2 linked regions of the Alligator mississippiensis genome follow. The protein of the gene in region 1 interacts with the protein of each later gene in a pairwise test. Links are inferred from orthologs where the notes say so. Each region holds a gene or a part of one and is shown on either strand. Other genes may lie near its edges.

What was found.
Region 2: the proteins of PER2 (region 1) and CSNK1D interact in binary tests that used the Homo sapiens proteins (3 or more experiments, as listed by UniProt). The link is inferred for Alligator mississippiensis from reciprocal best matches to the Homo sapiens genes PER2 and CSNK1D.

Annotation. Positions count from the first base shown.
Region 1 is NC_081830.1:44,722,361-44,738,883, reverse strand, and holds the start of PER2 (period circadian protein homolog 2), read left to right. Parts: upstream 1-7,586; 5' UTR 7,587-7,659; intron 7,660-16,523. UniProt on the Homo sapiens protein: Transcriptional repressor which forms a core component of the circadian clock.
Region 2 is NC_081831.1:119,895-135,803, reverse strand, and holds the start of CSNK1D (casein kinase I), read right to left. Parts: upstream 6,714-15,909; 5' UTR 6,699-6,713; coding exon 6,557-6,698; intron 1-6,556. UniProt on the Homo sapiens protein: Essential serine/threonine-protein kinase that regulates diverse cellular growth and survival processes including Wnt signaling, DNA repair and circadian rhythms. It can phosphorylate a large number of proteins.

The sequences.
Region 1 (16,523 bases):
AGCAGGCGTTTTTCAATGGATGCCTCAAATCCAAAATGAATGAGAACCCATGGTTTAATTGTTTTATTTTGATAATGTGGATTCACTTTTTGTCACTTACATGGTATGGTAAATGCATATCACATAAGGTTATAAATTCACCAAAATAAAAAAAAAGTTTATTATCAAAGGAAATTTAACGTTTACGTTATCAAAGGACATTTCTGATTTTCCCATCTAACATTTTGTTGAGGTGACCATATTCCTGCAAAATGTTTCAGTTTTAATTGAACTATATCTTCTGATGAAAATCTACTTTCACTTATTACCATGTTTGAACTTACACCCATCCTGCAAATGCTGAAGAACATACAGAATTTTTTACTTACAAATAGTCTCATTGAGGTCCATGTGACTATTCATGTGAGTAAAATTACATGTGTGTATAAATAAGGGTTTGTAATTACATGATCTTCAACATTAGGATTTAGATCCTTTATTCAAAGACTGATCTTCAAAATCCCTCCTAGCCGCCTATGTCTGATATATATATATTAGTGCCTACATTTTCAATATTCAAGTTTCCTAGGTATCTGAAATGTTGCTTCTGAGGTTGCTCAGATCCCCTGGCTTTTTAGCATGGTTGAGTAGCTTGGCACCTATCTCCACACTGATGCCCAGTCAGGATCCTCAGGCTAAATCCCCATAGATGCCCAATCTGGTAGGCAGACAAGGTTCTTTGGGTAAATCTGATATCTTGGGTATACTCAGAGCACATTTAAGGCACATTGACAATGAGCTCCACACACAGCAGCTCTAGCCCCTTTCATTCAAAAATTCAGCCAATAAAGTAAGAGGGGGAAAATGCATAAATAGTGCTTTGAGCAGAGGCAGGAACCCAGGCCTTATGTGTTCCAGATGAGTGTACCAATCACTAGTCTATAGAGCAGGGGTGGGCAATTATTTGGGCCCAGGGGCCACAATGGGAGTTTTGACAAATTGTCGCAGGCCAGGTCGGCACTTCCCGCCCACTGCAACAACTCACCAAAACTCCCTGTGTGGGATGGGGCCATGGGTGGAGAACAGTGTTCAGGAGCAAGACAGGCAGGGGAGGCTGGGATCCCAGGGTGGGATTGTGGGGCAGGTGGGGGGCTGCCTGGGCACACACATGTGTACACATGTGTGGGTGGGGATCTGTCTGGGCACTAGGTCCTGGGAGTAGGCCAGGTGAGGAGAGGAAGGAGGGGGTCTTGGCCCCATGTGGAGTGTCACAGGGCAGCCGCGGGCTGGATCAATTGGTGGGCACCCCCTATAGGCCCCCTCTAATCAGTTGGTGGGCCAGATCTGGCCCACAGGCCATATTTTGCCCACCCCTGCTACAGAATTATGCTCTCACTCCCTCATCCAATGCATTGTAAATTCTGTTTTGCAAGGTGGCTGTGCTTAAATGGGCAACATACAGAGTTCTTCCCCTCCCCATCCTGCCCCATGATAGGTTAGGGCACTCCCCTGGAATGTGACAGATTTGGAATGGACAGCCTCATGGTGAGGGGGGCATTGAATCTATGTGGCACCAGCTGCTCTGCCATATAAAGGACTAGAGAACCCCTCCTGTGTTTTTGAAAAGGATGGAGGAAGTTTCAGGCTGGCAATCCCAGTCTGACAGATGTGCCTGCCTGCAGTCCAGAGTTAGATGTCTAAGCCCCCCTACAACAAGGGCTAAATTTAAGACTTACTTCCCCTTCCATCATTTTCTATGAGCTACCTTTGTCAGCATCTGCTCAGCATGTTGTCTGTTGTGAAGTCTATTCTAAGATACCTGACTTCCTCCATGAATGTATAAGGGGTTTAAATGTCTTGCTCAGCAGTGGATTCTACTGCAGAGACCAGGAGCCTAAGAGTTAATTTTTGCTCTCTCGCCCTGATTTTCCAAACCCTTAAGCACATGTATAACTTTACATCATGTCCATTGTTTTCAGTATGGTGCCGCTCAGACAAAGTGATCTGACAATGCACAATTAAGTTTGCAAGGTCTCAGGGCCTTTGGTGCAATACCCTGCTACTAGATCAGTTGAAGGGGTACTGTATATTATAGGAACTGGGGTCCTGTTACTACAGTAGTAAGGTCCACCCATATAATTCTAATATTCTATGTATCTTTCTAATATTCTTCAAACAGAAGAGTTCAAGTTTCTTCTGGTTTATTCTTTTTTCTTACATACTGTAGTTGTCAACAAATAAAATTAAGAATTTAAAACAGTGAGTACAGAGAGGGGAAAACTACACTTCCCAGAGTCCTCTAAGAAACCAAACACCAGTTCTGCATCTTCAAAAAGCAGTTGGTTGTGTTGGAGCACTTCTTAAGAGACGGCTGCTTGAGTTGGAGCTCTTTAGCACTTCAGGTATGCTTAATGTATGAAGGAAGTATCTCTAAATGTGAATGACTAATTAGTTTGATAGTTTTTCTACCCTAATATGGGGTCAAAATACCTGACAGACTTTCACTGATAGGGAGAAAGCCTTCCCTTCATTTCTCTTTATGGGACTGGTAATCTTGATGTATTTTGCTCATTAGCAAAAAGGCCGTTTTGGATCTCTGAACCTTATCAGCAGTCAATGAATATTGAGAGTAACCACAAATTTGAGAGAAAGGAGTGAGAAGAGAGTAGGTGAAGTAATTAGGCAGCTTTAGAAAATAAAGAATGAGATGACTCCATCTGAAAAATATGGAAACAATATGGAAAAATATGGATTTCTTTAATCTTTTCAGTTAAAAAATTCCAAGCTCAAGAACAGTGTTTCTTTTCAATCAGTGCTGTCATAAAATTAATTACATGGAAAGTACTGAAAGTAACAAAATAGATGAGAAGACAGTTACTTGAAAGAAATAAGCCTATTTGTCTTCACTAGCTAATCGAGCTGATACAAAAAAGCCCTTAGTAATTCTGCAAAAAGCTTAAGCATTTCAAACTTGACTTCATTCCAAAGTGCTTGAAACTGCTGATTTCCACTGGTTCTAAAATGTTCACAGTATTTACAATATGTTGACATGTATCAAAAACAAAACTGAGTTGGGTTTTCTGATAAACTAATTTGGGCACCCCAATGTTAAAATATAGACAAAGCAAGATTTTCTTATGACAAAGTTTTGATAGCGTTGAAAGGTTTTTCAAATAATGTCTGTTTCTGAAACAGGCTGTTTTTCAGAATACAAAATTTGCATTTGAAGGGGGAAAAAAGACCAGTTGTACTATCTAATCTTTTTGATGCCAAAAAAAGGGTTCTGCACTGAAAAAAAACTGCCAGGGAGAGAGTTGTTACACAGCTTTCTGGATATTGCCAAAGCTATGCAACTTTAGTTATGCTGTTTCTGCTGTTAAAGGGATATAGCATGAGGATGGTAAAATAGATAAGATCTTAGGCCCTGAGCCTGCAGTAAATTGTAGTGATATGGACTACTACTCTCAGAGTAAGGTCATTTGACTCCAATGAAGTCCTGCTTAGGCAGAGAAGTCTGCCTCACATGACCTTGGGGGCCTCCAGTAGAACTGAAAGTTGGACATAGTAAAGGATTATGCCAACTCTCACAAAAGAAAAACTGTTTGTGGGTGGTGTCAGCGTGTGATTTCATAACGTTACATGGTGTGATGGAATACTTTGAGATGAACAAATGCTAGAGTCACACTGTAGATGAAAGATCCTCTGTGAAGGACACTGAGATCTGACACATTATAAATTGGCTTCAACCTGAAAGCGATGTAACTTTGTTTTTAAGACTTTCATGGAAATGTTGACTCACTGACAGTGTCCACATGTAGTATTGTTCTTTTAGAGATTTATTAAAATGTTTAAGGAATACCCTAGCTCTGAAACAGAGTAGACGAAGGTGGGAAATAAAATTGCCTGTCACTTAGTAAGGTTCTTCAAAACTTTGTTTTAATGTAAAATGTTGATTCTGTTCGCACACATTCTTAATTTTACTTGTATGAGTTGCAAAACATAAGATGTATGTGAAAGTGTTAGGAAGATCAAGGCTTTAGACATTACAACAAAACTATTTTGTCCTGCTTTATTTAGCAACCATTTTGTTTGACTGTGTTTCTAGTAAGAAAGGAGCCAATGTGGTTGTTTCTGTGCCTGTGCACTAGAATTGGTGATGATATCAGCAGGGAATGTGTGCTGCTATAGAAATAATGGACCTGATTGATCATTATTATATATCAGTGTATCAGGAGTAACTTCCTGTATTGATATGAGTGGTTGAAACCCTTAGAAAACTAAAGTGGGAAGAGACTCTACCCCAAACTTAGTACACTCTGCAGCAAAGCAAGAGGAGACTCATATGTCATATTTTAAAGTAGTAAATGACTTTTTTCAGTTTACTTTTAAATAATTCGGCGACAAAAGGCAGTGCATAAAGGGAAAGGGAGGAGTTTAAAACTGGACAGTATTCCTCAGATGTTTATAGCCGAAGTCAAAATAATTGAGTGGCATCCCTTTAAAATTAGTATGATCTAGTGATGCTTTTAGATGTCTGGAAAGCTATTATTAACAAGCTTGCTCCATGCAAGAAATATCCCTCTACTTCCCCAAAAAGTTGACTGCTTTAAAGTAACCTTAAGTCTGAGGATTTAAGTTCACACAGACCAAGACATTTAGAAGTTAAAGTTCCCACAACACGTTAACATAGGCATGCTCTCCGGAACTTTTAGTTAATATTTGCTTATCTACCTGAGAACAAACCAAAAATTAGATCTGCATAGGTATACCTCTGCATCCACACAAACCTAGATGAAGAAATTGTGCTTCCCACTGTCCTTTGGAATTAAATCCATTACAGAATGTTACTTATATCATAGAAAATGCCTACTTATTACTGAAATATCAGAGCACCTAATGCACAATAATGAATTTAGCTTTAATACCCTCATGAGGTGGGGAAGTAGTATTAACCTCATGTTACAGACAGAGATTGAAAGTACTGGTTGATTTTTTTTTTCTGTTGCTGCCCAACTAATGCAGCCATTCCACCTGTGAAAGTGAGCGTAAAGACTGCTGTCATACCAGATTGCTCCACTCTTGCAGGTGATAGTCTTAGACACCTGCTCACTTCTCTTTTCACAGATGTAAATATTTACACAATGTGCCTTTCAGCTCTAAACTTCTATGAATCTGTGGGAGTAGGCCCTGTGTATGTCATTCATCCTCTGAGCCACTCTGAACTCCAGCCAACCTCCAAAGATGATGGGGACCAAGAGGGCAGGCAGCACCTCTGTTGGGCTCCTACGTGATTGTAAGTCTCATGTTCTCCATCTGCAACAGCTAAGGAGATGGAAGGGATGGTGTGTTCTACCTGCTAAGGGGAATTAAATGAGCAGCCCATTTAAATGCAGGTAACTTGAAGTAATACATGAGCAAAGCCTTGAATGCTGGACACTTCACAATCTGTATTTAAGACACAATTTATTTTGACAAGGTGTAAACTGAACAGCAGATGAGCCACATGCTGACTGGGGGGTGTAACAGGGAACCCTAGCCCTGTCACCCGAAGACAGGTCTGCTCCTTTAAGGCCTGAACTTTCTGGGTGTGGAGTACTGGTGAGGAATGGGGTTAAAGGCCGAACCTGTCCAGCTAGTCAGCTGACCAGAAGGGGCAGGCCAGGACTATAACCCTGGGCAGAGTGGCAGTGAAGGCCAGCAGCCAAGGGGGAAGGAGAGCATCTCAGAGCTCCAGGAAGAGGCTTGGTGGGCAGTCCAAAGCCAGGAAGAGGGGAACTATGGAAGCCCCAGAGAAATGACAGCCGCACCGCAGCAAGGACTGGAGCTGATGGTGGGGAGCTGAAACACGAACCCTGCAAATGCAAGCTGACATACCGCTTTCCTTACTCACATTTGTGGGTGGCAGATATTGCCCAGGGATGGGACTGTTTATTTTTCTTTTGGTTATCAAATAACACCAGTGGTTTGGGCGAGGCTATTAGGGGAAGGAGGAGGCCTCCTTTTTGGGGCCCACTATGGAGCGGAGACCCTGGTGCCAGTGAGGACGTGGTTTTTGGGGGTACATAGACCCCGGTGCTAGTGGGGGTGTAGGATTTTAGGGTGCACTGACCCTGGCACCTGAAAACATGATCTTAAAAAGACTGGGGAGTTCTGGTGCACCTAGGGTGCAATTTTATTTATTTTTTTGTTGGACTGGGAGAGTGCAAGTTTGGGGCTGTCCCCTGGCCTTGAGCTTGTGCCCCCTTGGTTGTGGGGCTGGTGGCTGGGCCTCTGGGACAGTGGGGCCAGCCTCTAGATTGGAGCAGGAAAGGGGGTCACAAGCCACAAGACACTGGAAAAGGCTAGAGCCTTGGAGTCAAACCCTGTGTGGTGGGTTTAGACGGGGAGGCCTAGCTAGAGAAAGACAAGGGTCAGGCCCATGTAGACAAAAGGCCCCAACATACAAAAAAGTATGACAGGCAGTCTCCCGCTCGCAAGAACATCATCATCATAATTTTCTATCGAGACGTGGCAGGCGAGAAGAGGGCGGGACATAAGAACTTCAAGGAAGACTCCAAGGGTGCCCCACGTAAGGTGCGGATTACCAGAGAAGATGGCCCTGGGGAGGGCGACCTGTTACAGGGGGAACCCTGCTCTTCCGCAAGAGGGCTGCATTTTGTAACTTTGCAGACAGGAGCACTTCTAGTCTCAGTGTGTGGACCCAGTAGGGCACGGTTCGTTGAGGAGATAGGATATTATTAAACCAATGGAGTAGCTGGAATAAAGTTCTTAACAAGCTTTGGGGCACAGCCCAGGGTCTACCTCACTGAGTCTAACTGTGAATAGTTGGCAGGGTGCGGCAGAGTCACGAGCTTGCCTGTTTCTCCCGCAAACTCTTGATCCTGCACCTGACCGACCCCAGCCTGGCAGGCAAGCTGCTTGAGCCCCTGCCGACAAACTCGGGTGACGGCGGGAGCAATGGCCGTGGCCCAAGGGCCCGGAGCCCCCTCCTGCTGCCGGCAAACGAGTGTGTGTCCGCAGCTCCGGAGCAGTTGCTGCTGCTGTTGCTTCACCCGCCGCGCTGCCCTTGGGCTGGAGGGAGCCTGGCCCCGGGCGGCGGGGCGGGGGCGGGCGAGCGAGCTCCTCTGCCTCATGTCCCTGAGGGGCCGGAGCCCGGCCAGGCCCGGCTGCCCCGCACCGCACCGCACCTGCATCCGCGGGACCGCGTCGGCGCCGGGCCAGTGCCCGGGTCACCAAGCAACGGAGGGGCAGAGAGGCGGGGCCGCCCGAGACGTCAGTAACAGCAGGGGGGGGGCCTATCGGGGCCACCAAGGCCGTGACGTAATCCCTGCCCCCCAGCCGCGCTCTGCTCTGCCCCCCACCTCCGCAAGCAGGTCCCCGCGCGGGTGAGCTGAGCTGAGCCGGGCCGGGCCGGGCCGGGCCGGGCGGAAAAGGAAGGTGCGATGGAGGGGACGCTCCGGCGCTGACCCCGCTCCTGGAAACATGGTGTCGCACGTGAGGCTTATGTAAAATGAAGGACACTCCCCGCAGCCAATGGGGGCGGGGGGCGGCCCAGCCCCGCCCCTTCCGCATGCAGATGAGGCGTCGGCAGAGCCAATAGGCGACGTGGGGGCGGGTTCTGTGGCCGCGGTCACGTTTCTGACTGTATGAAGTGGGATCTGTGGCGAGCGGCGAGGGCTGGTGAGTGCGCGCGGGGGCTCCCGGAGCCGGGCCGGGCCGGAGCGGGGCCTGCCTGGGGGCGCGGGGTCGGGGTGCGACAGGGCCCACGCGGCCGCTGCTGGGGGTCCGCGCCCTAGAGGCGGCGCGGGGCTGCGGAGGGCTCGGCCGCGGGGGCGGGGCTGAGTGGCCGCGTCCTTCCCGGCCTGGAGATGCTCTGTCCCCCGCGGGCGGCCGCTCCCGCTGCTGCGCTTTCTAACCAGCCTGTCCGCGTGTGCGAGCGCCGGGCGCAGTCGGGTGGGTCCTGCCGCCCGCCGTCGCCTCGGGGAAGGAAGCGGCTCAGACAGATGGTGCCGCCGGGTGCGGGCAGAGGGCGGCAGCAGCTCTGCCGAGACGCTGGCTTAGCAGGATGTCAAAGGAAATTTGCGTTGTTAAGTTCCCGAGGGCTCGGGCTGCCCCGTGTGTTTTTGTCTCTAAAACGCGTAACTCCGAGCTCTGCGGTCACACGCGTGTGAGCGCTTCCCCGGGCGCCGCCTGGCACTCGGGTTAGTCCGGGCCTCGCCGTGCGGCACTGCTGCATGCACCGCCTGGCCCGAGCTTGAGCAGGAGACGAATGCTGCTTAAAAGCCCAGGGCACTGCCAGTGCTGGCCTGTTTGCCATCCTGAAACCAGCCCCTCACTTTCAACTGGTTGAATTGCTTGACAGCTGTTTTCCATTCACTGTGCTTATAGGGAGTGCATTTACAATAATGGTTAGGATGTGACTGCATGACAGCAGAGGTTCTCAACTTTTTTTTATTATTATTCCTGAGGCAGCCCTCTTGGTTTTCATGAACTTATAGGTTGCAGAGGGAAAAGTAGAGCGATTCTCCTGTTGTAAAGAGCTGAGACTACAGTAGGTCGGATTGTTTTGGGCGTTACAGATTCCTATTTTAAATCTGGGTTTATTTTCTGATTCATACAGAGGTGTTTGCACACCTAAGAGTGCTAATATTGTGTGACACCCTTCAAAGGATCTCACAGCAGCCTGGTCAAGAATCATTGAGCGAAGTGGTGGTTTTGTAAACCTAAGTGAAGCCAGAAGCCTGGCCTTAAAACATTATGCTTCTAGTCTGAGGAATGGGAATTTGCCCTGTTAACACAAAGCAGATTTCAAAGTTGTTCCTGTCTGTGAAGCCAGAGACTTTGAAGTGAGGGGACATCTATGTGCACAGAAGACTTGGCCTTTATCACTTATTTGTATTATGAGTGTTCCCCTGCATCCCATGAGGACCCACTCATTATTCCAGTTACTGTACAAACAACATAGGAAGCATAGGTGACGTGTAAAGGGGGTATGGGGGGCATGTGCCCCTCCCCTGAGATTGGCCACCTTCGGCTTCTGTGTGGTCACTGCTCGTCACCCCTTCCCTCGCCAGCATCTGTGAGTGGTCCCCGCTTACCACCTCCCACCCCCCTTGCTGCCAACACTGCTATTGGCACCTGCAGGTGGTCCCTGCTTGCTGCTGTGGTGCCCTTCCCCCCCCTCCCCCCCCAGTCTCAGGAGGCACCAGTTGTTTATGATAGGAAGTACCTTGAAAAGCAGAGGGTCTAAGTCAGGGGTGGGAAAAATACTGCCCATGGACTATATCTAGTCTGCCAAGGGAATTTGTTCTGCCTGCAATGGGTCCTTCTGTCCTGCCTGTCCCAGGGGCAGGGGGCAGCCCAAGCTGTAGTGCACGTGGCCTATACTGCTGCCCCCAGGTGCGCAGCAGGGCTGGGGTGGTGTGGTGGCCTGACATGCTTCCTGGCTGTCACTGCCCTGGACCTGGACCTGGGCACCCCAGCCCGTCCACCCCACACTCACCATTGCGGGTGGGACCTGTGCGGGCAGGGCAAATGGCTGGGCAGATGGGATGGGGCTGTGGACAAGCAGGAGGCAGAGCTGGGATCACAGGGCAGGATCATGAGGTAGTAACAGTGAGGGCCTGGGGTCAGGGGTAGAGCCGTAATCTGGCCACATCTCTGATGGGTCTTTGTCCGTTCCCTTGTGCAGCAGTGTTTTACTAGGGTACTTTCTCCAGATCTGAGGGTTTGAGAAAGGAGAGGGTGGATTGGCCAGGGGATGAGACTTAACATAGATAAGGCCAACGTTTGATTTCCACACCCTTCTCTAGAGCCACAGCCTGTCTACCAGAGGTTGATAGTGCAGATGCCATCTTGTGTAGGTATTTACACACTATACAGTGCTGATTCTGTTTGGTACCTTTAAAAGGAGCCTCCTGCTACCATTGTTGAGAACCAGGGAGTTACAGAGTAGACAATGACTGAAGGATTCTGTGTACAGAAGCCATTTATATAGTTAACAGATATGCAGATTAATTTGATGTAAGCTGTAGGTAACAAAGTTGGACTGGCATTGTTTAATGCAGTTTAGTGAATTATGCATTTATCTGCCATGCATACCAGTGTGTTGCATTTTTTTTATTTATTATTTTTCACTCAGTAATCTAATGACCAGGGTGTTTCATACTTAAATAAACAAAAAAGACCTCTTGCCTCCTTTCTACCACAAAGGTCCTTCTTTTTAAAAAATAAGGCTTTGTTTTTGTTTACTGTGGTTTCAAATAACACACAATGCTATTATTACTGAAATAGTGTGGAAGGGGGCATTGTCTGTGTGCGTTTGATCATTTAATAAACTCATTTTTGCTATTCTTCATCTACTTCATGTAGACCTCATAAAATAGAAAGAGAAGGAACCTGTAAGGGCTTCCAGAACGGAACTTGTTGAAAGGACTTGAGTGGCATCTTAGGCTGTTTGTTTGTTTTTATTACACTTATAAATTGACTAGATTTCAGTTGTCAGTGTGTCTTGAACCACCGAGTATGTTTGCAGGTGACATTACTCAAAGCAATAAATAGCTCTGCGTCTGCTTCTAAAGGATGTTGAGGACAAATCCTCAAGGACACTATGATAATTTTGACAGTGAGGCCATAAGTGTGTGTTGAAATGCAAGTAAGTTAAAATTTGGATGTGGAGCTTTGCCAGACCAGAACTTGTTGTGACAGGTTCAGTCATACCAGCAAAGACTTGCTTTACTTGGATCCTGATTCTTTATTAGTAGAGTTAAGAAAGTATTGAGTGTAGGCCTCAATAGGGTATAAAAATCAAGTCTTTAAAAAGCCAGGAGTTAAAACATAAACTAAGTTATTTGTCAGTTAATGTGTTAACCTCTTCAAAAATAATAGTGAAATATGTTATTAAAATTGTGTCTGCATGTGCAAGAAGTACTAGGAATTAATGTCTGCCTTCCCTTGAATTAAACTTTAAAATTAACTTTTCACGGAAACTGTTATACAAGTGAAGGTGACCAAAATTGTTGTTGTTAAAACTCTGCCAATTTCTTAAGTGTAAATAAGAAAGCAGAGGCTTGTGTCTCCCAGCAGAGGTCGTTTTATTGCTAGATCCCATTTGGGTGTTTTGGGTGCTACTAAAATGAGTGACAGTCTGAGTTTTGATTAGAAACTTAATCTCATCATAGTGATGATTTCCTCTGAATAGAATTATATTTCATTTGTTTAATGTCTTAGCTAAAAACTGGTAAATAAGTGTGGATATATCCTGAATGTGACCTGGCTTTTTCTCTGATTTCTTATCTGATGACCAGAAAGTCTAAATTGCATAGTCTAGGTTGATACAGTATTTAAAAGAAACTAGTTACTTTCTATGTTTTCATTTTGTTTTGTTTAAATGCACTTTTAGAAGTCTAAAAAGAGCTTTTCAGTAACACAAAGCACCTTTTTTCCGGTCAGTCATTTGTTTAATTCACAGTACCTTTACACTACTGTCTCAAGAGCTGTTCTAATAGGCCCATGTTAAAAGGGAACAGCGTGATCATTTGAAACTGTTGTGTGCTTGTGCCAAATATTATACTATAGAAAAGTTCCTATTTCCAGAACTGCCTGGTTACCTAGTAATTATAATGCATAGTAACATAACAATTCAGATGTTATAAAAAACTTGTCCTTCAGATTTTGATTCAATGAAGTAAATCCATAGAGGGTTATTTTGGGTTTTGTTGTTGGGTTTTTTTTGGGGGGGCAGGGGTTACCATGTTGCAATTTTAGATTCTGCATGCAGAGTATACACAAGAAGCACTGTTGGTTCTGAAAAGTAGCTTGAACATTTTAGAAGCTGAATTGTGTTATTAGATGTACTATCTGATCTCATCTGTGTGTGAGGGAGAATTGTCTACCTGTGCTGGACTTTGTATTACAGTTTTATTTTTTGTTACACTGTATTCAAGGTAGCAAAGGAAATTTGACATGGGAGAATATGATGATGTTACATTTTTTTTGTTTGATTTAATGTTTAAGGGTCCAGAACTTTTTCACCGCCATTACAATATCCATTTCAAACTCATTTTTGTTCATAATGAAGTCCCTTGATTTATTAAATTGGAGATGCCCTATGTGCAGCCTTGGCTGCAGATCAAATATGTCATTCAGTGGTAGGGAAGGTGTGGCTTCCCTGGGAAACAGACTGTTCTCTTGTCTTCTTCTTCAGCTTCAGGCAGGCAATTTTTTTTTCCTAGCTGTAGGAAAAAAATACAGGGGACAGAAAAAGATGGTCTCCAGGCTGTCTGGGATTCTCCTCCTCATAGTTACTCTTTGTGCCCTAACTGGGAAATAATTGGATACTTCAAGTCTCCTTTGACTTGCTGCTGATTAAGTACCTGCCTGAAGATATTCCTCTGCTGCGAAGAGCCAAGGCCAAACAAATGTGTGTGTTAGGACATGGTTTCTTGTAGCCCCCTTTTTATGAGTAGTATCAACATCTCATCAGGGCCATGTCCTCAGTTTGACAGTAGAGCCCTGCTTTTTGTGCGCGTCTAATCCAGAGGATTAAATGATCATTGAGTTTCTTTCCAGTCCTGTGGTTCTGTAGATGTACCCAAGCTATTAAACTGCCTGATTGGGGAGCTGAGATCAGTCCGATGTAGTCTAGTTGTGGCAGCACAGAGTTTACCATGGGCTAGTTTACTTTTTCTCCAGGAGGTTTTGCAGTGCTGAGTGAGCTCTATGCTGCTATAGCTGGACTGAAGTAATGCCAGGACTATACCTTGGTAAGGGAGTTTTGTCTCTTAATGATACATCTGTCCATCTCTTACCTGAACTGCAAGTTCGTATAGTCTTTTTTTTTTTTCCTATGGGATCACAAGCCAAGGAAACAAATGGCTTGCCTTGTTGCAAAGATGACCAAAGATATTTTGTTATAGACCTTTAATTTCCGCATCAAAATGTTATAAAAATTTGCATACAGGTAGCACCGGTAATTCTGGTTGGAAAACCTTGCTTCTCCAATTTTATTGAGTACAAAGACTTCCCATCTGCTTTTCATCCAAAAGGGAGGTGATATTACAAGTGTCATTCATGCCTCAGAATCCAGATAATCTGTGTAGTTTCCTGGCTATTAAACCCCTGAAACCAAAGGGAAGGTGCAGAAACTATAATGTCCATAATTTTTTGTCTTCCAAGAAGAAGCTTAGCAGCTCAACTTCAACCTGGCCCCTGAATGTGCTGTCAGTTGATACTAGGAAAAGGGTTTCATTATTGTATCTGCATGAGTACCACAGATTTTTGAAATTCTTAGAGATGGACTTGATTGATGCCTGGCAGTTCAAGCATTTGGAGATCAAGGGTATTTGACAAAGCAGCAGCTTGGTTCAGCAGGCAGGTAGTAGATTTCATCTTTTCAGGTGTCCAGAATTTTGAAAGTTACTTCTGTTGTCATTGTGTTTTGGGAGGACTTGGTTCTTCTCTGAGATTTTACCTTGCTTCCAGTGTCATTAGGGCTCCTCTGTTGGAACAAGTCATGACGTTACTTTCTAAGCATTACAAATAAAGCCTTTTTGATAGCAACCAGTTCTTAGGTTATCGTAGATGGGAGATCTTTTTCCTGAAGCCACAATACTGCACCTTCTTAAAATGTAAAGTGGTGCTCGGAACTAACGATGCCTTAATAATAAAGGTTAACTCCAGGATTTAAGGGCTGTTGGAAACTGCCGTTCTGGTCAGGTTTGTGATGTCCCAAAGGGAAACTTAAAGCTGTGGAGACATCAATCATGTATCTTTAGGGTGCATGTTCACTGCACAACTTTAATTCAGAAACTCAAATGTGCTTTTCTGCTGTTATCCCATGTCCAAGGAAAAGAAGCCTTACATTACCTTGACCACCTGGAAGCTTCTAGTTGTAGAATACAAGTACCAATATCAGAGCTCACTTCCTTGGAGCTGTTGTTACTTCATGGGAAGAAAAATAGTGCATTTCATATTATAAGGATATACATAAAGCAGCCATAATTACTGATACCATCCCTAGATTCTACAGGCTGAACAGTGAGGCATCTGATGCTGCCTTTGGTCTATGGGTGCTTCTCATTACAGTAACTCAGTAAATGTTAGAGGAACGTTTTTTGTTCTTTTATTTTTTATCCCATTTCACAACTATGTATAGTTGTATATGCTTTTCAAGCGGGTACTTCTGTGAAAGTCCAAATGTTATCATAGGAAAGTAGGGCTGGAAGAGACCTTACAAGGTCATCTAGTCCAGTCCCCTGCTCAAGGCAGAATCATCCCTGACTAAACCATCCCAGCTAAGCATCTGTCTAACCTGTTCTTGAAAACTTCCAAAGGTAGAGATTCCACAGTTTCTCTAAGTAGCCTGTTCCAAGCATGACTGTGCTTGTAATCAGAAAGTTCTTCCTAATCTCTAATTTAAACTTTCTTTGCTGAAGCTTGAGGCCATTGTTCCTAGTCCTGTTCCATGTGGCCACAGAGCAAAAGTCCATCTCCATCCTATAGTTCTAACAGCCTTTCCTTTCAAGTCTTGCCTTTCAGGCCCCCATTCATTTTTCTTGGTCTGTGTTGGACTCTTTCCAGTCTGTCCACATTATTCCTTAAGTGTAGAGTCTAAAATTGGTCATAGCACTCACAGGTGAGGCTGCACCAGTGCTGAATAGAACAAAAGTATTGTTTCCCTTCATTTGTAAGTGACAGTCCTGTTAATATAACCCAGTACACTATTGGCTTTTTTGTTTTGCAACAAGAGCAAGCTGCTGGCTCAGATCCATTGCAACCGCCCCCATTAATTTCTCCAAATCAAATTTGAAGTCTCCAAATCGATTCGAAGAGATTTGAAAACTCAGCCATAGATACGGCTTTATTTTTTTTTTTTTCTACATACCTCAAGGTACCAGGCGTGGCTTGTGAACTCTGAGATGGTGGAGAGGATGAAGCATTCCATGGGAGCGTGGTGGAGGTCCCCCATGCGCTCAGCAGCAGACCCGGAAGCAGACCAGAAGTACTTTCGGTCCACTTCTGGGTCTGCCATGGAGTGCACTGGGAGCCCTCCACACCCTCCCCCCGGCTCAGAGACTGGTGCCTCCTGGGTCTGGGGGGGGTACTGGGGGTCCCCCTGTGGCCAATTGCCAGGCCACGGGGCGGGTCCCCTGTGTGCTCAGCGGCAGACCCGGAAGTGGACCAGAAATACTTCCAGGCCACTTTTGGGTCCACTGCTGAGCGTGAGGGGGGACCCCCTATGATCCTGTAGGATACTCCATCTGCCCCACTATCTCAGCGTTTACAAGCTGCGCCTAGTACCTCAAGGTATGTAGAAAAACCATACAAAGCTGATCTCTGATTCTCCGAATCAGAATCGAATCTTCAGATTGGGCTGAATTGAATCGAGACAGTGATTCAAGTCAGCGAATCAAATCACTATCCCCCAGATAGGGCCATATCTGAATTGTATACTATCCTCTTTGCACACCCCTACCCATCATCCAAGTTATTAGTGAAGGTTTTAAAAAATACTGAACTCATGATAGACTCCTGGGGACCCCCACTTGTTGGCTCCTTCCAACAGTTTGTGGACTTTATAACAAACTGCAGATTTCATTGCAAACGCAAATAGAGGCAGTCCTTGGACTTGCGACACAATTGGTTCCTGAAAACTGCGTCTTATGTCGAAACGTTGTAACTCGGAGCCAATTTTCTCATACAAAACAATGTTATAAATGGGGGGATCAGTTCCTGAACCAAGGCCGGATACCCTATTTTCACCAAAAATACTCCAGAATTTTGTACTCGATCAGTTATACATGAGTAATATAGCTACATTAATATATTTATATTGTAAATAGCAATCATATCGATTTGGAAGGACTTCTTTGAGGTGACTGCTGGACTTTTTGAAGGGCTCTTGGTTGGAGTCTTCTCAGGAGTCTTGGCTGCAGGTTTTTCTGGAGTCTTGTCTGCTTTTTTAAAGAAAGTGTCCAAGGAAGTTTGGACAGATGTTCTCCAGGGAGATGAGTGACTCAGCAAACTTGTTCGCTGGCATGGCATTGCATTGGATCAAGTATTGTAAGTCGAAACTGGCAATGTGAAGTTGAAACAGGATGTCAATTTATAAACGTTGCAAGTGTGAAATGTTGTAACTCAAAACGTTGGAAGTCGAGGATTGCCTGTAGGAACATTTACTTGCACTTGACCTGGAAATTTCTCTTTTTTGGTGGGGGAGGGTGGGGGGAGTAATGCAATCACAGGTTCATTCTTTTCTAAATAGTCATAGTAATTCCTTTCTTTTCCCAAATAATTGAATTCCATGATTTCCTGCAGGATAGTTTTGTGTGGTCTGAATTTATCTCTGAGATCTAGAGTAGGCTGAGATGTCCTAGATCAGTGGGGACCAACTTCTTTGGCAAGAGTGCCATAAGGATGCCCCATACCCTCTCTGGGTGCCACTGATCCTTTTCCCCTGCCAAATCTATTGCTCTGTCTTCTGCTCCCTGCCTTATCTGCTGAGTGTTCCCTACTCTCCCCTCCCCCCCCCCCCAATCTGCTGC
Region 2 (15,909 bases), on another chromosome or scaffold:
AGGTACAGGAATAATGTTCTCCAAAGTCTCATCATGAATCTGAATTACCAGAGCTGGGGATTGCTTATTAAGAGCTTGTTGATGGAGGACCTTATTGCCTTCTGAATGTTAAGCTTCAGTCCCATTTTCTTGTATACCTCAGTAAAGGTGTTGATGATTGCCTGAAGGTCTGCTTCCAAGCGAGCACAGACCACAGCATTGTCAGCATACTGGAGTTTGATGACTGAGATCGGGATGGGCTTGATTTTGTCTTGGAGTTGGCTGAGATTAAACAGCTTACCATCAATCTGATGTAGCACTGCGGTAAGAAATATTAAGAGCAGCGCTGGAGTGATGGCACAGCCTTGCTTAACTCCTGTCTTAACCTCAAAGCGATCTGTGATAGATCAGTTACTGAGAACCACAGCTTGCATACCACTATTGAGCAGGCAAAGAATAGTGACAAATATTGGTGAACATCCACACTTCACTGCCCTTCACCCATCCCTTCCTCTCCTGGCAGGGTTGAGGGTTTCCCAGCCCCTTCTGCAAACAGTTCTTGTAAGTTGGAACTCTGCCAGCCTGCACAGCTCTTTGCAAAAGGGGGAAATCCGTGGGTTTCTCTTCTAAAAGGGAAAATCCGTGTTTTCTCTGATAAAAGTGGGGAATCTGTGGTTTTCTGCGGGAAACGGAAAACCAGGATCCCTGCTGATAACATACCTAGTCCTGACCAAGGAGATGCAGAGCCCTGGGGCCAGTGCCACCCTGCCCTGCCGTGGGGCAACAGCTGGCTGCCCACAGCATCATAGTGGTGCACACAGGAGCAGGGGCAAGCTGTGGGGCTGTGTGCAGCAGCAGGCAAGGGGCCAGGATGCTGAGAGGGAGGGATGAGGCAAGGGGAGTTGGGGATGGGTTTAAACTTTAAGTAGCCTGTTATCTGGTTTTCTGGTCTGCGAAGGGGCAGTAAAGCAATTGCTTGCTTGAGTAGTCATCAGCACCCCCTCCTTTTTGTTTTACTCTTTAACCTCATAAACCATAGGTGTGCTCCTGAGTTCTGCTGCCTTACCACTGTAAGTAGGGAATAACAACTAAGGGGTGTTATTGTAAGGGTTTTAACTAACCTTAATTTTTTTTAATACTGGTTCACTGCCTAACTACAAATGGCTTTTGATATCCTTCAGCAGCTTTTAAAATTTTATCCACATTGCTGACCTGGCCTGCACGTTTATATATACCTTCCATTACCTCTCTGCCTCCACACACCCCACACTTAATCCTCCTCTCACCCTCTCCTGCCTGCCCTGCTGCCTTCCTAGTCCTGAGCTGCCGTTTTCCTTCCCTGCTAGACTGCGACCCATGCTAAATGTTAACCAGTACTACATTACTGGTATAAATATGCTTGTTTAAATGGTTAACCTTTCATATCCCTAGTGGAAACACTTTAGTCATAGGAACTTGTATAAAGAATTGTTTATAGTAAAGAAGTAAGTCTTGCTACTGCTCTTGCAACAGTTGGGGGCCCTACCTTGTGGGACAGAACGGCTACTTTTGCAGACTGGGTTTTCCTGGAAACAGCAGCACCGAATCTATACACCCATTGTGGAGCCAGCCTCTTCTCGGCATGCAAAGTCTGAAGTAAAGCACCGGGTTTTGGGGTTTGTTTTTTTTAATGTCTGCTAGCAGCCAGTATACCCAGGAAGTATAGTGCGTCATGTATCCAGGAGGACTTATTGTCACACAGCTGACCGTGGCTTTTTTTGGGGGGGTGGGGGGGATGTCTAAGTTCTGCCTTCAAAAACCAAGATATGCACGATGAATGCAAGAAAATACAGCACTTCCTTAAGAAACTAGTAGCTGGATGAAGCTCATTCTAAATAAGATTGGAATGATCCTGGGAAACTAAGGAAAACAAGTGAAAATTATGAAGACAGATGTATATCCAGCTGTAATGAAGAGTGCGTAGCTGCTATTTATACTATTTAGAATCTGGTTGCACTGCTGGATCCCAGCTCCTGTTAGGCAACCATGTACAGTAAAAGCTGTGTTAACCAGCATTTTAGTAACCGGCACACACTAACTGGAATTTCTGCCCGGCCAGACCAGGCGGGAGAAGGAAGCTTGCACAAGGTGGCCACCACTGCCACCCTGTGCTGTTGCTGCTCCACATGCAACTGCCGCTGCCAGCCCCCCACCCTGCATCCGGCCAAAAAGTCCTGTCTCATGGTAACCAGCATTTTTAGATTACCGGCACGCCCCATTCCCCACGCATACCAGGTAACAGAGCTTCACTACGTCCAAGTGGCCAAGATACTATGACAGTTATTTTGAGTTGGACTTCATTAAGTGGACCCCTGCTTTTAAAGCCACAGTACTTGACTACTGCTGTACACTTTAGATGGCCCTATACTTGAAATCAAGCCAGAAACTTAAGAAGCCTACTTATCAAGTATTTTTCCTCAATGCCAATACAGGATAACCATTTCACAATACACACTAGCCACTTACTGGTTTCCAGATTAAATGCAAGGAGAAATTTGATTTACTCTGCTCCAAATGGCTTGGATCCTCCTTATAAGACAGACCACCCCTCCTCCTCTATTAAAGCAGTTATTAAAGCCTGAAAACTGAGGCACCTTCAGTTGTGGAGAAGACTGTGAAGGATGTCAGCTCAATAAAGAGTTTGCCTTCCTCCCCTACTCCAAAGCAGCCATGGACTGCTGACCATCAGGGCATAGAATCATAGAAAATGAAGGTTGGAAGGGACCTCAGGAGGTCACATCTATTCCAACCCCCAGCTTCAAAGCAGGACCATCCCCAGCTAGATCATTCCAGCCAGGTCTTTGTCAAGCCAGGCCTTAAAAGCCTCCAAGGATGGAGGGAGATGCCATCACCTCTTGAGGTAACCTGGTCCAATGCTTCATCACACCCTTCTAGTGAGCATGTTTTTTTCTAATATCCAACATAAACCTCCCTTGCTGCAACTTGAAACCACTACTCCTTGTTCTATCATCTGTCACCAGTGAGAATGCCACAAGGCACAGCCTATCTACATGAGCAGCTGCAGAGGATCAAGTCTGATGAGAGTAAGTTCTGCTTTGTAAGGGATCAAGTTCTGCTGGATACAGTGGTAAGTGGCAATTCATTTTAAATCTGTACTTTTAACTCTTGTAAAGGTCACCCATGAGCTTTGGAAAGGCATGCCATTCTTGTACAAACAGCAAACTAAAAAATATCTAGCATGAAGATGTTATTTTTAAAAAGAATGCTCCAAGTCCTCTTTCTTCCTTGATTTAAAAAGTAGGTTTTATGCCATACAATTTTCTACCCCTCCCCCCACCATTCTTATTTGGGGTTTGAATGTTTTCTCCATGCTCATGCATTTATTAAAAGTGTTTGATCTTATCTGCTTCTATGTAGATAAGATTAAAACCAGGAGGAGTTACAGTCTAAAGCAGGTGTGACCAAAATCCAGGTTCAGAAAACTGGATATAAGACAAGCACCAACAGCATTTATTGCTGTGGCTCCTAAATGGGTTGGGCACCACTGCTCTAGCAAACAGTTTTTCAATTAGCAGGCTGCAGTTTCCTGATAGTCAGGAAAGATAAATTAGGAGGTATAAAATCTCACTAAATAAAGAAAATATTATTTCCAAAATTACTTTGACATGGTCAAAAATTTCTATAATTTGTCATGAAGTGTGACAGCATGAATATTTCTTCACTTCGAAAAAGGGCTGAAATATGTTGAGATGCTCTCCTTCTGATTTTAGCTGTTTACAGTTAGGAGTCTTCGCTAGCAAAGCAAACAGTATGCAGAAGCCACAAAGTAGCTATGTGCTTGTAGCATTTATACCAGTTTTGGCCTAACCTATCAAATATTAGAACAGCTTACTATTCCTACTGTTCTCTTTTTCTATATTGGACATTCTTTGTACAATTTAAAAAACATTTGAGAACCCCTGCAGTTTTGTTTTCTTATCAGGATGCTAATTTCAAAGGCCTAGGCATATTAAACCCCAAATTTGTTCTCAATAAAGTCACTTAAAAAATTTAAGTACGGCTGAAATTCTACTTCTTGAATCCATTGCTGTAAGTAGTCACCAGGATACTCTTCTAAATCCTTACAGCTGGGGGGGGAGCAGAAATACAATAGCACAGGGGGCTGGGGCAGAATTGCTTACCTTCCCTAAAGGCACATTTGGGCAAGTCTCCTTCCTCCACTCGCATCAGAGTCCCTCCCCAACTCTTTTTACTCTTCCAGCATATCCTGTACTGTGTACTAGGAAAGGACTGGGGGGAGGAAAGAGGCAGAGGGGTAATGGAAGGCGCACACGCACACACAGCCAACTCAGTAACGTAGATGAAACGTTAACATCTGCTGAAGGATATCAAAAGCTATCTATGGTTAGGCAGTGAACCAGTATAAGAAAATAGATTAGTTAAAACCTTTAATATAACAACTCTTAATTGTTATTCCCTACTTAAAATGGTTGGAAGAAATTAGCACATGCCAGTTAAAAAAAAAAAGTTTGCCAACATGAAAGGCTCAGATTTTTTGTTGTTTTTGTCAACATATTTGAACATCATCTAGGTGAGCTTTTAAGCACCCTATCAGAACAAGAAGTAGTCAAACAAATTAAGATTTAAACTAGGAATTCAGGATAGTCACCAAAGGGCTGTTCCTGAAAACAAACAAGCAAGCAAGCAAACAAACAGACAAAAACCCCACTAGATTTTGCTGGAAAAAAAAAAATCCACATCATTAGCTGGATACAGTAACTTCCTTTAACCATCATGTTTTCAGATTGGCTGTTTTAAGTCATTTGGGACCCAAAGGGAGCACAATCTGAAGGTGAAGGACCCTCGAGCAGAAAGCACTGCAAGCAATGCCCTCTAAGGATTGTCTAAGACAGAAAATATGGGACTAATGCTGTAGTGCTGCAGCTAGCTTCATACCTTAGAGCTCTAGTACAGTACTGCGATACAAATACTTGCCCATCCCCACACTCTGCTTCCATCTTTGTTCCCATAGTTAAGAACCACAAAAATGGAAAGATACAAGTCAGTTTCCTTTTATATATCAACTCAAAAGCCTCCGTTGATCTGAAACTATTGCAGAATGCTGTGGGAAGAGGAACAATCTCTTTGTTTGTGTGGTGTAGACAATATCCAGAGGAAGGTCATTAGGAGCAGCTATTACTTTACATTCACACATGACTTAGCCTGATTTGACTTCCCTCTGCAGACCATTTTTTAGACCGGTAGGCACCAAGCCACCAGGTTTAAGGTGCTCTCTCTCTCGTTTGTAAAGTGCAGCCTGAAATCCAAAGACAGCCAATGGAAGTTCTGAAATACAGGCATAACATGTACATAGCAACACACCACTTTCCTCAGCCTTATACACGAGGCGTTGAAACAGCCCCCAAATTTCTCCCCACCCCCCCAAGTTCATAGGCCATCAGCTAGAACAGGGAGTTTTCATTGAGTACACATTTTACTCAAGGATAAGCAACCTTGAGAGCCTGCAAAGAGAGTTTCATTTAGCTGTTATTTCTGATTACATACAGCCTCTTGAATTAAAAATGTGGCTTAGGAGAAAAAAATTAATAGTTTGTAGGCAAATCTATTACACTGACCACATGCACAAAAGAGCTCAAAAAGAAAATAACTAGACCTATGGCTACTTTGTCACTGTCAAGACAAGAAAAAGCGTTGTTCTGACTTACCTTTTGAAAACTACCCCAGTTTTCAAGAACTCCCCTCCCTCCAAGACAACGTGCTACATATAAACATTTATTTTACATAAAATAAATTCAGACAGACCCAAGTCATTCTGACTTCCTCTTAAGCACATTCAAAATCTTTGCTTAACATTTAAATTAGCAACGGGGTACAGTGGCCTCAATCAAAATTGAGGGATCACTGCCTCAGGGTGGGGGGTTTATACCAAAAAAAGCAGTTTACAGAAATCACAGAAAGTTAGGGCTAGAAGGGAGGTCATCACAAAGTAGGACGAGCCCCAACTCCATCATCCCAGCCAGGGCTTTGTCTAGCTGGGTCTTGAAAATCTCCAAGGATGGAGACTCCACCACCTCTCTGGGGAGCCTGTTCCAGTGTTTTACTACCCTCTGACTAAGGAAGTTTTTCCTTACATCTAACCTAAACCTCCCTTGCTGCACCTAGAGCCCATTGCTCCTTGTTCTGTCATTTGCCCCCACTGAGACCAGCCCAGCTCCATCCTCCTTGCAGCCCCCCTGCAGGGAGGTGAAGCTGCTATTCAATCCCCTCGGTCTTCTCTTCTCCAGACTCAATCAGCCCAGTTCCCTCAGCCTCTCCTCACCGGTCCTGTCCCGCAGCTCCTGAACCATTTTCACTGCCCTCCGCTAGACTCTCCAACTTGTGGGCCCCCCACAACAGAAAGGATGTGGACAGCTAGACACAGGACTCCAGATGTGGCCTCTCCAGTGCCGAATAGCAGGGGAGAATGGTGCCCTCGATCTGCTGGCAGCGCTCCTAGCAATGCAGCCCAGGATGCCGTGAGCAGCCTTGGCAACAAGGGCACCCTGCTGGCTCCTACCGAGTTTCGTGTCGCCCCCAGGCCCTTGCCTGCAGCTCCGGCGTGGAGCCGCTCCCGGAGGCCGCGCACCCCGGGGTAAGGCGCGGCCAAGCAGGAAGACGGGCCGGTTGCAGGACGCCCGTTCGGAGCGGTCCCGAGTCATCCTCCGCCGGGGACTCGGGTAGGCCCGGCAAGGCCCCGCGACCGGCGGCCGGGCCAGGCGGGCGCCGCCGCGCCCAAGGTCGCAGGGGAGGAACGGCGCGGGCGATCGGTGCCCCGGGCCGCGCCGAGTCAGAGGCTTCCCTCGGCCCCGCAACGCCGCCGCGCCCGGCCCAGCCTACCCAGGTAGATGTCCCCGAAAGAGCCACTGCCGATCTTCCGGCCCAGCCGGTAGCGATTCCCGACGCGCAGCTCCATGGCGGCGGCGGCGCGGCCCGCGGCTCAGAGACTGGCGGCGCCCGGCACCATCGCGGCCCCGGGACCGCGCGCGGCACCAGGGAGGTGGAGGATGGACGCGGATTCCCGGGGGCCCGGCGCCTCCTCAGCGGCCCCCGGCCTGAGCCGCCATGCTGTGTGACCTCACTTCCGTAGCAACGGGGCGGGGCTTCCGGCCGCTTCCGGCGCGCGGGTCCCACCTTCCGACCCGCTGCGCTTGGGCCCGGGCACAAAAGCGCGTCCGGGATGACCTAGTCTCCCAGCCCTGGAGCCCGGGATCGAGCCCAGCCCAGGAACCGGAGGGACCGAGCCCTCCCCCCACCTGCTGCTTGCACCACACTCTCAGACCTCGTTTTCTGGCGGCGGCGGCGGAACGCCGGGCCGGGCTCAGCTTGGCTCCCTCAGCCCCTTCCAAAGCACGGCCAGTCCCGGCTGTTCTCAGGCGCGACGTCCTTGGGGCCTTCGCCTCCTTGCAGGGGCAGGCCCTGCAGTGCGGGCAGCGGCCCCTCCAAACAGCCCCTGCCTGGCAGACGGCACATGGGGCAGGGCACAGGCAGCGACCAGGACAACGCCTGTCGGGTGTGGGGGGTGGGCAGCAGTCAAGGGAGACCCAGGCGGTGGTGAGCAGGGACAGGACTTGAGGGAAGTCTAGGTGGGGGGTCAGAGAGCAGGGGGTGCAGGCCAGGATTATGGCTGCAGGTGCTGACCAACAGAGGAGGGTGCTAGGAAGGCTCAGAACAAGGTGAGGAGTAGTAGGGTACAGGATGGGTCTCAGGCTGGGAGTGGGGATGGTGGGGAGGGCCCCCCAGACCAGACTGGGGCTCCAGCATTCATGGCTGCCCTCACCCTGCCCCACCCCCACCTTCCCGGGTTAGTTGCACCCCACTGCAGGAAGCCTTGCCCCTCACTGACCTTTGGGGACCCTAAGTTTTGGGGGGCCCTGGGATTCCCACTCATCCTCTTAACATGTCATCAGAGCCCCCTCCCCATACTAGCTCAGTTCCTTGGGACCCTAAGGGCAGCAGTGCCTACCCCCAGGAGGCCCTCACCCCACCCCCAAGACTCCCTACACCCCATGGGTCTGCCCCCCAAAAAACCTTCCTTGGCCCCACCCCAACCTTGTGGCCTTCTGCTGTCTCTGGGGGACCTTTGTGTCCTTGACTACCTTTTTCCACAGTCTCAGTGCAAGAGCCATGCCATCCAGGGTCCCATCTGAGGTGGGGACCCACCTTCTCAAGCCCTGCATGCTGCCTCTACACCTTTGCTACCAGTCTTCCTCTCAAGCCCCCCTTAACACTATTTACCCTCCTGTCCCTCTCCTCTCCCCAGCTATCTGCTCATGGGGGCATCAGGACACAAGGGGGAGCAAGAAAGCCCACCTCCATGAAAGGCCCCTGCCCCAAAGTTTGTTCTGTGCAACACCAGCCTTTTAAAGGCAAGTGCATCAACTTGGACCTTCCATTCCCTCTTAACAAGTAAGGTACTACCACCCAAGCCAGAAGGAGAAGCAAGAGACAGGTCTATAACTCAACCTTTTCATTACACCTCAAAGCACAAGAATAAATACTTCTATCTATGCCTGCCTAGTTACCTGCAACACCACAATACAGATTCTCACCTCTACCAGCTGGGGAGATGCAGGAGGGAGGAGGCTAACAGCAGGTTGTTTCCACTTTGCAAAAGTCTTTGTAAAGTTTCCCTGCATTTACACCTAAAATTTATATGTGGGTTTTTAAAATCACTGTTCTGATAGCAATAGGTGTAATGCAAATGTGTTTCACTGAAACTTTGGGAATGTGAGTGAACTTGTTTTTCTGTGGGCTTGGGAGATGCCAATGTGCTGGGGCCTGTGTCCCTGGAGTCCGATACAACTCTGGAATAGAGGAGCACTGCTCATCTCTTTCCTTGTGTGCCTGGGAATGCTCTTTGCCCTGTTGTGTTTTACTCTGCTGTTCAGACCTAGTTTAATTTCCAGCAGGTTCACAAAACCAAACATCAGGTGCTGCTTTGAGCTGCTCTTTCCCACCTGTCCAGAAAGCAGTTACTGGTTTTCAGTCTTGTCTATATTATTAAAGGCTGGAGAAACAGATTCTTATTGCACTTTCTCAGGCTCTTCCATGTGATGTAAATGCAGCCCTGGCCCCTTCTGCACGGGGTCGCTCCTTGCTCTTGGGCCTGTAGGGGTCACCTGGGTCTCGGCCACAGCACCTGCCCCGTTTTACCCTGCCCATTTGATCTCACCCATAGATACTTTCAGTGCTTGGCCTCATCATCACTCTCCGTTCCCCATGTGCATTTTGCGGCACAAATCCATGGTGCCGGCGTTCGGTTGCCGCAGCCTGCTCCCAATGCACGTGCGCCTGGAGGTGACAACTCGATAGTTTCGGCACTGGTCCTGTCATCACTGCCTGTGTAACCATGGAAACTCATCCATGCCTCCTGCTTTGGCAGAGCTCCCGTATTCCAATGATGCATGCACCAATCCATAGTCTCGGTGCTTGATGTATTTCGTTTGGGATCACTACGCATGTGGGTTTACTAGCAACATCACTCAATTCAGTGTTCCATTCACGCAACCTTGCACCGCGCATGCCCAACTGCTTTGCCCATAGATGGGCAAATGCAATATGCCACTTCTTCCTAAGTACGCATGCGTGTTCATGGCCCCTCATCGATGTTTTTGTCGAGCTTCCGCGCTGGTCCTCTAATCAGCGCCTCTGTAACCATGGAAACAAAACCATGACTCGAAGACGAATGCGCAAATCCATAATATTGGCGTTCGGCGCACTTCGACTGCGACCACTACGCATGCACACTGACAAGCACGAGTCAGCCACTCGTTGCCGTGCGCATGCGTACTTGGTTTGCCCACTAGTGGGCAAACGAGATAGCCCCCCTCTTCCTTAGGGCGCACGCGTGCTTATGGATGCTCGTCGATGTTTTCCTCGCGCGACTGGCAGTTGGCTCTGTACAGCGCATGTGCACTGGGTCCCACCCCCCCCCCAAGTGATGGCTTAATGCCGCCTCACTTTCCCCGACGCTGGTGCCGCGGCCCCGGGTGGCTTCCGCTGTGGGCCCGGAGCCACCAGTATTGTCCGTAGCGCTCATTCCCAGTGCGCATGCGCTCCGAGACCCGCGCCTTGATAGTTTTGGCTCTCGTCCTGTCGTCATTCCTTCTGTAACCATGGAAATCTATTTCTGATGCTTGGTCTTATAGCGTCCGCAAATTCCCCGGAGGCATGCGCCGCGATCGCGGTTTTTTTTGATAGCGCCCAGTACGCATGCGCAGGATCCAGAACCCTCGATAAATTCGGAGCCCAGCTGATCAACCCTTCAGCAGCCCGCGCGTGGCCAGTCGATTTGCCCATTGATGGGCAAACGCGATGCATCGTCTCTTCCTGAGTGCGCATGTGTTTTCGTGGTCTGATATAGACGCTTTCGGCACTTTATGGGGAGCCCACTCTGTACCATGAATGCGCAGTGGGTGTCCCCCACTGATAGCTTAACGTGGCGGCTGCTTTCCCACACGCCAGTTCCGTACTTGGCGTGGCTGAAGCTCCGGGTCGGGAGAAACGTTGCGGGGGGGTTCATCCCTGCCCCGAATATTGACTCCGGAGAAGCCTAGCGGTCATTCCCAGTGCGCATGCGCATTGAGCCTCTGTAACCATGGAAACCCATCCATGGCTCCTGTTCTGCCAGTGTCTGGTATTTGACAGGATGTACGCACAATCCATAATATCGGCGGTCGATGTGTTACGTCTGAGACTACTGCGCATGCGGACTTGTCAGTACCATCGAGCTATTCACTATTGAAGTGATAAGCGCCTCACGCATGCGTACTTGCTTTGCCCATTGATGGGCAAACGTGACGCACCGCCTCTTCCCAAGTACGCATGCGTGTTTATGGCCGTTCTCGAGAGTTCCGTCGCGTGACTGGGAGGCCCGGGCTCTAGAGCGCATGCGCAGTGCGTGTCCCTCCTGGAGTCCGTGCCTGGGCTGTGCGCAGCTGGGCGGTCTGGCCGTGGGCTGCAGGAAGAAGGGCCTGGCAGCGGAGAAGTCTGCGGGGCCGCTGCTCCTTTGTGCCGAGCAGCACCTCCTGCTTGGCCGCCGCCGGTCCGGATGGCTGGTCTGGGGGCGCTCCTGCCGCCGAGTGCGGAGCGGGGCGGCCCTGCCGCGGGGTGCCGGGTCAGGCGGGACGGGCGGCCCTCCACGGGCCAGACTCGCCTCCGAGCCCTGCGGTGCCCACCCCGGGGTCATCTGATGCACACACGCTACGCCCAGGAGATCTCTGGACAAGTACAAGAAAAGCCAAAGCAAGTTCTTCAAAAAAAAAGTTCACCATTTTATTGGGACCTACCTCGGTAATTGAGCACCTCTGCCAAGAGCAGCTACATACAGCAGAGCATACCCGGACGCACGCAGTGCCCCGTGGGGGCCAGCGCCCCTCGCCGTGCATCCTCCAGGCTTGAGGCCGGTTCCTGACTCCCACGTCTTTGCCTTTGTGTGGGGATTTTATAGAGTTCGGGTTGAAATGTACGTATTCCAGCCCACTTCTCTGAGACGAGAATCTCTCAGCCCGTGAACGTGGCAGGGAAACCGAGTCGAGGCCTGGAGCCTTGTTCCTTCCTGAGGTCGCCTCATTAGCATTGGGTGTCATCACTGGACTGTACATCGCAACTCCCTTGAAACTTTTCTGACATGCTACTCATGGTGTTTTAGGTTTAAAAAAAGGCCTTTGACACAGTGTCACACCCAATTCTTATAAATAACCTACATTGCAACTGTTTAGTTTATTACACAGGCCGGTGGGTAGAAAATTGGCTTATGGGGCACAGCCAGAAAGCGGTGGGGGATGGGTCGGCTTCCACCTGGAGAAATGTAGGCAGCCGAGTCCCCCAGGGCTCAGTCCCGGGACCGGTGCTATTCAATATCTTCGTTAGTGACTTGGACGAGGGAGTAGGAGGCACCCTGTCCAAGTTTGCTGACAACACCAAACTATGGGGGGAGGTACACAAACTAGACGGCAGGGAGGAAATCCAGCCCGATTTGGACAGGCTGGGGAAATGGGCTGAGCAGAATAGGATGCAGTTTAACAAGGATAAGTGTCATGTGTTGCACCTGGGGAGAAGAATCATCAACACTGCTACAGCCTGGGAGGGACCATACTGTCGTGCTACTCAGTGGGTTGGACTCGATCCATTGAGGTCCCTTCCGACCCTAACATTTATGAATCTATGAATCTATGACTGCTGCAAGGGATCTCGGAGTCATAGTTGACTCCAGAATGAATACGAGTCACCAGTGTGATGAGGTAATAAGTAAAGCTAACCGCACCCATACTTGCATGAGTAGGTGCATCACGGACATGTCTAGGGCAGTGATACTTCCCCTCTATGCAGCATTGGTCAGGCCACAGCTGGAGTACTGTGTCCAGTTTTGGGCACCGCACTTCAACAGGGATATGGATGGCCTGGAGAGGGTTCAGAGGAGGGGCATTCATCTGGTTAAAGGCCTACAGCAAAAACCCGATGTGTACTGTTTGGGAGACCTGAACAGATCTCCGCAAGAGGAGGCTGAGGGGTGATCTCGTGGCTGCCTACACACTCAGGGGCCCATAGGGGATACGATGTTTACCAGGGCAGCTGTTGGTGTAACTAGAAATAACGGCCACAAACTGGAAGAGGGCAGGCAAATTCAGACTGGATATCAGGAGAAAATTCTTTACAGTGAGGGTTGCCAAAAGATGGACTACGCTTCCAAGGGAGGTGGTGCTGTCCCCTTCCTTGGAGGTATTTAGAAGGAGATTGGACAGACCTGGCTGGGGTCTCATATGACCCCAGCAGTCATTCCTGCCTGGGGCAGGGGGTCGGACTCGATGATTTAATAGGTCCCTTCCGAGCCTAACATCTATGAAACCTTTTATTTGTTTGCACCTTACAAACATGAGAACAAATATTTATCCCAAATCTAGCTGGCTGCCTACAACCGTAAAACATAGGTTCTCACCTGTATTGGCCAGGGAGACCCAGGAGGTGGGAGGAGGGTGGCATACAGATTAGCAGCAGGTCTTGATTTTGCTGAGTTCTCTGCATTTCTCTTCAGCCTATGCCATTATTTATAAATGTATATTTAGTTACATCAGTTGCTACCACTACTACTTCAGGATAAAGCTATGATATAGTATATGTGGATTATTCAATGTATAGACTTCTCTTAGCTCTTTTTAGGCTTCATGCTTTGGTTAATGATTTGATGGTTTCCTTTGCTTGCTGACCAAGTTAGTTGTCACATCTGGAAAGGTTTATGCTCCGGTCATTCAGAACAAGTTTTTGGGCCTTCCGCTTAGCAGCACTTCTGTAACTTAGCCTAGGCACCTTGAAAATGGCCGAGGCTGGCAGCAGGGTCATTTAACCCTCATCCGTGTTGCGGTTAACAGCACAAGTGTTTTACCTCACGTGAAGGGCCCTCACCAGCTAGCACGTCTGCAACAGGTCACTGTGCGGACTGCTCAGAAATGGGCATTTGGGGCCTGCACTAGTCTCTTGGAAAGATCCAAGCCAGCCCTGGCAGTGGGTGAGTGCGTGTTCCTGCCTTGGACATGCTGAGGGAACAGAGTGTTCCAGCAGTTGCTTCGGCTTCTGACTGGATGCACATTGTTCACTTGCACATGTCCAAAGGTACCGGCTCTAGTGGCTGCAGCTCTCACCCCCAAACTACTAAAGCACCTTCCCAAAGCATGGGCTAGGCTGATACCAGTGGCACAGACCCACAGACTTGTTGTTGTACCTCCCTGTGCCCGGACTGGTGTTGAGCATGTGGACCTCAGCAAGCTTCAACATGTATTAGCCTCTCATCTTTCTGTGGCCACCACCACAGGGCCTGTGACAGTAATGTCTCTGTCAGCCTCTGACTCCCTCTTCCCCTGAAGGCCTCCCATGAAACCCCTTGTCCCATCACAGTCGGCAGCATGGCTCAACCAGCATTTCCCACCTGCACCTGGAGAGTTGCGAGGTGGGTGGGGAAGAGCCTTCCTTGCCCCCACAGTCTTTACTTCTCTCAGCTTGAAGCTATTTGTCTGTTCCAGTGCCCCTTTTCTCTCCTCCTTCCACCTGGGTAGTCGCTGGGAGGTGGTCTAAGAGGGTGCACATGGACCTCCCAAGAAGGACTGTTTGCTTCTGGCCTGATGCTGAAACGTCTTTAGGGAGCACCTTGCAATATACCAAATTTTCATTTTTTAAAGAGAAAAGGTATGAAAAACCCATTGTTGTTCAGGAAGCACAGCAAGACATGAGTTCAATTCCAGGGCAGAGTTTGGGATTTTTGGTGCAACACAGTATAATACTGAGCACGGGGTTGAAGTGTTGGTGTTATTCATTGTGTACTTTGAAAAACCTGAACCTGTGCAGAGATGTATCCAGTATGGGTGTGTATGTATACTGCTATGCAAATAATGTGTGTGTGTATAACATACACCATAATTAACACAGTGATCCTATTACTAGCTCTCTGTCTAGCTCTATGCATGGGGATAGCGATATAGATATTAATGTATCCTCTGTGCTATGCCTATATACTAGTGGCTGTAGTTCATGCAGATATACTAGGTATTGTGTGTCCATCCATACGTGGTCTGATTAAACCCGGCTCAGTGCTGCCCGCCTGTGGTGCGCTCCGAGCACTGCAGCCCCGAGGAACGGCGCCGAAGAGGGGAGACGAACTCACTGCTCGGTGTAAAATAGTAGAAAAAGGAGAACAGGGAGCTGAAGTGACGGTGTTATTGATTTCGTACTTACTTTGGAAAACTTACATTGTGCAGAGCTGTATCCAGTACGGCTGTGTGTGTATACCGATATTCAGATAGTGTGTGTGTATGTACTACACACCCTCATTAATATAGTTATTAGCTCTCTGTCTCTACCCGTGGCGACAGTGATGTAGCTGTTCAGCTATCATCTTTGCATATAACCGCATACGAACGTGTGTCGTTAGTATATACGCACTAATAGGGGTCATGTGCATTGTGCTGCTACACTTACCGTGAAGACAAACCCGGCTCAGTGCTGCCCTCCGGTGGTGCGCTCCGAGCACTGCAGTCACGAGGAGCGGCGCCGCGGAGGGGAGACTAACCCGCTGCTCGGTGCTGCCCTCCGGTGGTCCCGTCGGGGTATTGGCGCAGCCCGTGAAGGCGTCGAAAAAACCCTGCTCAGAGCCGCCCTCCTGTGGCCGTGCTGGAGCGGGGCTTGGAGCCCGGAGAGAAGGACCCGGAACAAAGCCGGCTCCGTGCCGCCCTTCCGCGCGTCACCCTGCGCGGAGCAGCCGGTTTTAAAAAGGCAGAGAAAAGAAACCCCTGCCCTGTGCTACTGCCCTACGACTCAAGCCGGGCTTTACAGCCGAGAGACGAGGGCAGAGAGAGAGAAAGCGGCTTCGGGCCCCGCGCCTGCAGCTCGGGCAGGCGGGAGATCAAGGCAGGGAGACAAGACCAAAGACCTGGCTCGCTCGGGAGTCACTCGGGCAGGGCCCGCGGCCGCAGCCGGGGCCGGGGCCGGGGCAGGCGGGGTGGCGCTGCTCGGGGCAGACACACGAGTCACGGACATGGAGTCCGGGCTGTAGAGAGCTCCAGGGCCCGGATGGGAGACTCGTGTTCCTATTGGGCGCCATGAGCCGTGAGGGGATTGGGTGGTGGTGCCGCTTGGGCGGGGTCACAGCCACTCCGCCTTTCTTCCCTCTGATTGGCCTCTGCCGGATGAGGCAGGACCAGGAGCCCGGCTTCCTTGTTCACATTCTGATTGGCTGCCGGGAATGGTGGGTGCGTGCAGGCTTCTGTGGCCATTGGTCCGACTCCGATCCGCACGGGCCCCGCTCAGCGGTTTGTCTGTTGGCGCGGCGCGGCGCTGAGCGGAGCGGCGCCCACGTCCCTGCTGGGCCGGACCGGCGGGCGG